Callithrix jacchus: one gene and its partner. The protein of the gene in region 1 interacts with the protein of each later gene in a pairwise test. Links are inferred from orthologs where the notes say so. Each region holds a gene or a part of one and is shown in the gene's direction. Other genes may lie near its edges. The genes, in order: TSKS and TSSK2.

Region 1 (3,845 bases):
TTCCAAGGACTGGAGTCCATTAATGACCAGGAAAGAAGCACCTTTCTCCCTGGGGATAACGCCATTAAAAATACTTAGCCCGGCGCGGTGGCAGGCGTCAGCAATCTCAGTTATTTGGGAGGCTGAAACAGGAAGACTGGTTGAACCCAGGAGGTGGAGGTTGCGGTGAGCGGAGATCGACCCACTGCACTCCAGCCTGAGCGACAGTGCAAGACTCCGTCTGAAAAAAAATTTAAATTAAGAAAAATTTTAAAAATTAAAGAAAACAATAAATAAATGGGGGAGGGGTGGAGCCACCCTCTCTCCTGCCCCAACTCTCCATCTTCCTCTCCTCCCTCACCTTCCACACCTAGCTGTAGGCCCACCGCACCTAACATTCTCTTGTTGATCTATCTACCTGTACATTGCCTTTTCCCCCGACCCTAATGCCCCATAGAATATGAGACTCTGCAGGTCAGGGTCTGGATCTCAGTCCTCTTCCACCGCAGTCTCCTAGACCCCAGGCAAGCATCAAATCCAGGATGCTACATGAAGAATCAAGTACAAGTGCACGGGGCTGGGCGACCCCACACTTAGTCTCAGGGAAAGGGAAGTTGGTCTTCTCCCAAGAACCGGTGGGCCAACCCATTGCAAGTTACAAACTAGCATGAGTCCATTCACTGGAGCCTGTCGCTCTGAAGACGGTGGTGGGGGGTGTCACGTTGGGCATACAACTGGAATCCTGAACAGGAGGAGTCCACTGAGAACACTGGGGGGATGACCTGGGCCAGCAGCTCTCCCTACCCTGTGTCCCCCCCACTCGTGGGGGCCCAGTGGTTGGGTCCTTTGTGAGACAGGCTGAGAGGACAGTGGACCCTGGAGGGTCTGTGGTTAGAACAGGTGGGAAGTCTCAGAGGAAGGAGCCCCTGGGAGCCAGACTCCCACGCCATGGCGAGCGTGGTGGTGAAGACGATCTGGCAGTCCAAAGAGATTCATGAGGCTGGGGACATCCCTGCGGAGGTCGAGAGCTGCTCCCAGCTAGTCCCTGAGGCTCCCCGGGGGGTTACCAGCCCGGACAAGGGGATTCCCAGGAAAAAGAAGGCTGTGTCGTTCCACGGGTGGGTTTGGCGCACCCTGCCGGGGATGGTTCTAACGCCCAGCACTGCCTCCAACAGAGCAGGAGTCCCACTGTGGGTGCTGGAGGAAGAGGGGGGAAAAGCCAGCGGGTGAGGGGCAGGAAAGAGACAAAAAGCAGCAGGGAGGTAGAGAGGAAGAAGGTAGTGGGGATGAATGGAGGGAAGAAAAAGCCAGTGGGGAGGGAAGAAGGGAGGCTAGTGAATGAAGGAGAAAGCAGGCAGCGGGGAAGGAGAAGGGGGAAGAAAGTAGGCAGTGGGGCCAGGCGCGGTGGCTCACGCCTGTAATCCGAGCACTTTGGGAGGCCGAGGCAGGCAGATCACAAGGTCAAGAGATAGAGAACATCCTGGCCAACATGGTGAAACCCTGTCTCTACTAAAAATACAAAAATTGGCCGGGCGTGGTGGCTCACACCTGTAATCCAAGCACTTTGGAGGCTAAGGCGGGTGGATCACGTGAGGTCGGGAGTTCAAGACCAGCCTGACCAACATGGTGAAAACCCGTCTTAAAAAATAAATAAATAAAAATACAAAAATTAGTGGGGTGTGGTGGCACCCACCTATAATCCCAGCTACTCAGGAGGCTAAGGCAGGAGAACCACTTGAACCCAAGAGGCAGAGGTTTTGGTGAGCCAAAGACAGAACCACTGCACTCCAGCCTGGGCGACAGCTCACACTGTAATCCCAGCACTTTGGGAGGCCAAGACGGGCAGATCACCTGAGGTCAGGAGTTCAAGACCAGCATGACCAATATGCAGAAACCCCTGTCTCTACTAAAAATAGAAAATTAGCTGGGTGTGGTAGTCCATGCCTGTAATCCCAGCTACTCGGGAGGCTGAGGCAGGAGAATCGCTGGAACCTGGGAGACGGAGGTTGCAGGGAGCCAACTGCACCACTACACTCCATCCTGGGTGACAGATCAAGACTCCATCTCAAAAAAAAAGAAAGAAAGAAAGTAGGCAGCAGGGACAGAGAAGGGAGAACCAGGTAGCAGTGAGGTTGGAGTCAACAGGGGGTGAGGTATGCAGAAAGGAAGGCAGGAGGGGCCAGACCACAGGCAGGAGTTGACCTTTCTGCCTGTTTCTCCTCTGTAGGGTGGAGCCCCCGATGTCCCACCAGCCCATGCACTGGTGCCTGAACCTCAAACGGTCGTCGGCCTGCACCAATGTGTCACTGCTCAACCTGGCCTCCATGGAGCCCACCGACTCCTCGGGGACAGACTCAATAGTGGAAGACCTCAGCAGCCAACTCGCCGGGCCCCCTGCCTCCCCCACCCTACCCTGGGTTCTGGATGACCCAGACATCTCGGAAATCCTGGTGAGGGCCCCCCACACCACCCTCTGGGGAAGACCAAGGTCCTCCAGGTGCTGGTAGCAAATACTTAGGACGGAGTGGGGTGTTTTGGATTTGGAATGAGAACCTTCTGGTTGCTTTTTGAGACCCAGAGGAACTAACAAGGATCTGCCTCCTCCTTTCCTGACAGCCAGCTGTGAATATGGGAGTTGGTCTTTTTTTTTTTTTTTCCAGAGACAGTCTCACCGTGTTGCCCAGGATGGTCTCAGACTCTTGGGCTCAAGGGATTCTCCCACCTCGGCTTCCCACAGTCCTGGGATTATAGGCATGAACCACCACACCTGGCCTGGGTGTAGGTCTTTAGTTCATACAGTCACTCCCAAATGTCCCCAATGAGGCTGGGCTCAGGAACCTGCACTTGGGGAGCTCCCAGTCTGGTGGGGGACAATAGACACAGACTAGGGTAAGAAATTCTGTAATGGAGGAGAAGAGCCCCTCAAGCCAGGCTGGGGGTATCAAGGAAAGCTTCCTGGAGGAGGATGTGTTGCAACCCTACTTTAGTGAATGAATAGGAGTTCTCTGATGGGAGTCACCTAAGAATCTGGGACAAAACTGAGAGGTGAAGCAAGATTTAGAGGGCTTTAGGGAATTTCTGAATCTCTGCTCCTCACCCCGCCTGGTTTCCCCTGGGCCAGGCCTGAAACGGCTCCACCAGATACTGAGATACTGAGAACTACACTAACCACAACCATGGTGTTTGTTTTTTGTCTTTTGTTTTGAGACGGAGTCTTACTCTGTCGTCCTGGCTGGCGTCCAATGGCATAGTCTTGGCTCACTGCAACCTCCATCTCCCAGGTTCAAGCAATTTTCCTACCTCATTCTCCCAAGTAGCTGGGATTACAGGTGCCCACCACCGTGCCTGGCTAATTTTTGTATTTTTAGTAGAGACGGGGTTTCACCATCTTGGCCAGGCTGGTCTGGAACTCCTGACCTTGTGATCCACTCTGTGGGCCTCTTCCAAAGTGTTGAGATTACAGGCGTGAGCACCAGCCATGATCTTAATGCTGTTGAGATTCGGTAGCATTTACTGAGCATTTTCCATGTTCAGGGAGCCCCAGTTTACCCATCTGTAAAATGGAGATGCATGCATTTGTTCCTGCATTTTTAAATTTTATCTATTTTTGAGGCAGGGTCTTGCTCTGTCTCCCAGGCTGCAGTGCAGTGGCGCGATTACAGCTCCCTGCAGCCTTCAGCTCCTGGGCTCAAAGGATCCTCCCATCTCAGACCTCAGTAGCTGGGACCACAGGCACCCACCTGGCAAATTTTTTTCTTAATGTTTTTATAGAGACAGGGTCTCATGATGTTGGCCAATCTGGTCTTGAACTCCTGGATTCAAGTGATTCTCAGGCCTCAGCCTCCCAAAGTGCTGGGATTATAGGT
Region 2 (3,911 bases), on another chromosome or scaffold:
ACTGGGACGCCTCCCCCGTCCTGCACCCTGCAGCAGCTGCCTCTGCTGCTCAGAGAAGAAGCCCCAACTCTTTCACTTCCCTCCTGACTTCTACTTCCCAGTCACTTTGAGAAAAAGCCCTCTCTTCTCCCAGGCTCTCTGCTGCCTAGGTGCCTTCCTGCTGCCTCTAAGCAAGGAAGGCCCTGCCCCACCCCTCAGACATGCAGCCACTTGCCAGCTGGCATGCACCAAAGCCCCGACCCACCCACACACAGGCCCCCATGTGCTGGACCAGCAGCAACTCACCTACCCGGCTCTCTACCCTGAGGGGCCTGGCGCCTCTGCTCCTAAACACAGAGCTGCTTTCATCCACCAAGCTTGGCACCACTGCCAGCCTGACTAGTCCAGGGCAGTCCCTCCTAGGTACCACGGGTCCCAATGTTCCCAGAACCAAGCCGGGTCCAGCTGCATTTTCTCGAGGCCCAACAAGAAGAAGCAGACAAACTAGGAAAGAAGGGAATTTATTACCGTAACCGGACACAGGAAGAAGGCCAGAAATAATTCCACAGACCAACTCGAAGTATCACAATTTCCTTGGTGTTTATATAGGTTGGGGTTATGGGCATATGTGCAGTACAGCAATCACCTAAGTCTATTAGTAACTAATTTGGTTTCAAGTAGAAGGTCAGAGACAAAAAAAATGCTTGCGAAGTCCGATTACAAGAGGCCCAGTAGCTTTAAGGCCTGCCTACTGTGCTACCGGAGTGATTATTTCCATCTTTACTCCTTTACAGCTTGGTCTGGAGAGCTGCCTTACACTCCCAATGAATCTATTCAAACGGCTGCCTCTCCTACCTTGACTTGTCTCAGACTGTGTTGACCCAGGACAAGTCCTGGCACTGGGAATATAAAACTGTTCCCATTATTTTGGCTTGCTCCAGCAAGGGAGAAGCTGCTGACCACGTTGCATTTCTAGCTTTGATGTCTGGACACCGATTTCCCTAGATTTAACTATTTGCTCAATGTTAAGGCATCGCTATGGAAATTTGTCTGTAACTGGGGTGCTATGCAGGCCTGTCTGTATGACTGTCAGGGAGAACTGTCCTGCCACACGAAGGACACTAGGGGGCTTTTCTTCGTGGCCCAAAGAAGCTGCAGGAAACCCACCCTAGTGGGACAAAGACCAATGGCAGGGTCAGTCCCCATAGCCAGGTGAGGGAAACAGGCTGGACGCGGGCCTCCTCCCCTTTGGCCTGACGTGTGACAGGGAAGCCAATGCAAGGAGCAGCAGCAGAGAGGGTCACCACAGTCCTGTCCTGTGGGTGGGCTTCCTTCCAGTGGGTGGGGAACGGGTACTCCCACCCCACTCCTCCTTAGCTTTATGACTTCATTTGCTGACGTCACCCAGAGACAATGCTGAGTGTTCTACCCAAGTCAAAGCCAAGCCCAGCCCAGCCCAGCCAGACGCCTCCCAGTATCGTAAATGAAGACAATGCCTGTTGGCCCACGTGGTGGGGGGATGTAGACGGCAGTGGCGCCAGCCGCTTCTGGCACCATGGACGATGCCACGGTCCTAAAGAAGAAGGGTTACATCATGGGCATCAATCTCGGCAAGGGTTCCTACGCAAAAGTCAAATCTGCCTACTCTGAGCGCCTCAAGTTCAATGTGGCTGTCAAGATCATTGACCGCAAGAAAACGCCCACCGACTTTGTGGAAAGGTTCCTTCCTCGGGAGATGGACATCCTGGCAACTGTCAACCACTGCTCCATCATCAAGACCTACGAGATCTTCGAGACCTCTGATGGGCGGATCTACATCATCATGGAGCTTGGCGTCCAGGGCGACCTCCTCGAATTCATCAAGTGCCGGGGGGCCCTGCAGGAGGATGTGGCGCGCAAGATGTTCCGACAGCTCTCCTCGGCCGTCAAGTACTGCCACGACCTGGATGTCGTCCACCGGGACCTCAAGTGCGAGAACCTTCTCCTCGACAAGGACTTCAACATCAAGCTGTCTGACTTTGGCTTCTCCAAGCGATGCCTGAGGGACGGCAATGGACGCATCATCCTCAGCAAGACCTTCTGTGGGTCGGCGGCGTATGCAGCCCCCGAGGTGCTGCAGGGCATCCCTTACCAGCCCAAGGTATATGACATCTGGAGCCTGGGCGTGATCCTCTACATCATGGTCTGCGGCTCCATGCCCTACGACGACTCCGACATCAGGAAGATGCTGCGTATCCAGAAGGAGCACCGTGTGGACTTCCCGCGCTCCAAGAACCTGACCTGCGAGTGCAAGGACCTCATCTACCACATGCTGCAGCCTGACGTCAGCCAGCGGCTCCACATCGACGAGATCCTCAGCCACTCATGGCTGCAGCCCTCCAAGCCCAAAGCCATGTCTTCTGCCTCCTTCAAGAGGGACGGGGAGGGCAAGTACCACGCTGAGTGCAAACTGGACACCAAGCCAGGCTCGAGGCCTGACCCCAAGCCCGACCATAAGCTTGGAGCCAAAAACCAGCACCGGCCGCTGGTGGTGCCCGAGAACGAGGACAGGATGGAGGACAGGCTGGCCCAGACTTCCAGGGCCAAAGACCATCACATCTCCGGAGCTGAGGTGGGGAAAGCGAGCACCTAGCATGGCAACAGCCCCATCATGTGTAGTGGGGGCGGGGGGGTGGGGGGGGCGTGACGCAGTCGGCCTTCACATAAACTAAGTAGGCAGGTAGGATCTGAAGAAGACACAGGTGCAAGTAAAATTCGTCAATTAAACCACTATTTTGATTACATTCCATTAGTTTTCATCCACTTAGTAGCAAAGATGCTCCTTACTGACCACCAAGTAAACCACAGGGTGTGTACAAGCATCGAGAGTGCCCAGTGAGGAGTGTTTTTCTCTGGGACTCGGCCAGCCGCCTCAGCTGATGCACAGTGGTCTCCAGCCTAGGAGCACAGGACAGGTGCTCAGGCGCAGGCAGATTCAGGTGTGGCCTGGCCTAGTTGGGGACGAGAGGGCCTCTGCCAGGGTCCACCCACCAGGCCCCCACTGTCTCTCTTTGACCTGGCTCTATCCCCATTGCCCCCAGGCTGGCCAGCTCCAGAGGTCTACAGCTCCCCCTGGCCTCCTGCAGTTCAGCCTGCTCTGACCTGCCCCCGCTCCCTCACAACCTCTCCCTCAGCATCCTCCTCTTCCTCCATTTCCCAGTCATTTGAGATTTCTGTCCTCAGCCCTCACGTTGCCTGCCCTGCCCTCCAGGGGCAGCCCCAGCTAAGACCTCACCTCCCCTGTGCCCTCCCCGCCCAGTGGCCCTGTAAGCTGCTCAGCAGCCCTTGATGATGGTGCACTGGCTAGTCTTTCGTGCTTTCTGCTGGGTCACCCGCTGCTGCCGAAGCATGCAGCCCATTCGCCAGCCAAGTGCTGGAGGTGGTTAGCACCTAGACAGGGCTCCTCCCCACTCCCTAGGGACTCCCTTGAGATAAAAGCCACCCTTTCCTATGGGGTAAAGCACCAAAGGCCCCACCTTCCCCACTCATGAACAGTCCCAGCCTGATCTGTCCAGCACCCCTACGTCTACCTGCAGGTCCCAGGGCACATCTATTGCTCAGTTACCCCAGGAACTTGCAGGAACTCACTGTCGAGGAGCATAGGTTAGCAGTGGGCCCAGGAAGGTGGCAGAGTCAGGCTCTGTGCTGGCCTCCAGAGAACTTCAGCACTTAGGGAATGAGTGAGGGGACCAGAGAAGATCGCCTAGCACAGGCTGGGCACACTCAAAGCAGGAAGGACCCCGGTGTGAGTAGAGGCCAAGCGTGTCCCTGAGCAGCGACACCCCCACCCCGAGGGCACAATCTGTGACCTCCACACCTTGTCACTCCCACCAATAGGAGCCAGGCCTCTCTATCTCCACAGGAAGCAGGCTCAGTCCCCGCTTCAGTGACCA

The links.
Region 2: the proteins of TSKS (region 1) and TSSK2 interact in binary tests that used the Homo sapiens proteins (3 or more experiments, as listed by UniProt). The link is inferred for Callithrix jacchus from reciprocal best matches to the Homo sapiens genes TSKS and TSSK2.

The regions. Positions count from the first base shown.
Region 1 is NC_133523.1:43,532,066-43,535,910, reverse strand, and holds the start of TSKS (testis-specific serine kinase substrate), read left to right. Parts: upstream 1-872; 5' UTR 873-927; coding exon 928-1,097; intron 1,098-2,206; coding exon 2,207-2,429; intron 2,430-3,845. UniProt on the Homo sapiens protein: May play a role in testicular physiology, most probably in the process of spermatogenesis or spermatid development.
Region 2 is NC_133502.1:210,756,840-210,760,750, forward strand, and holds the start of TSSK2 (testis-specific serine/threonine-protein kinase 2), read left to right. Parts: upstream 1-1,441; 5' UTR 1,442-1,534; coding exon 1,535-2,611; 3' UTR 2,612-3,911.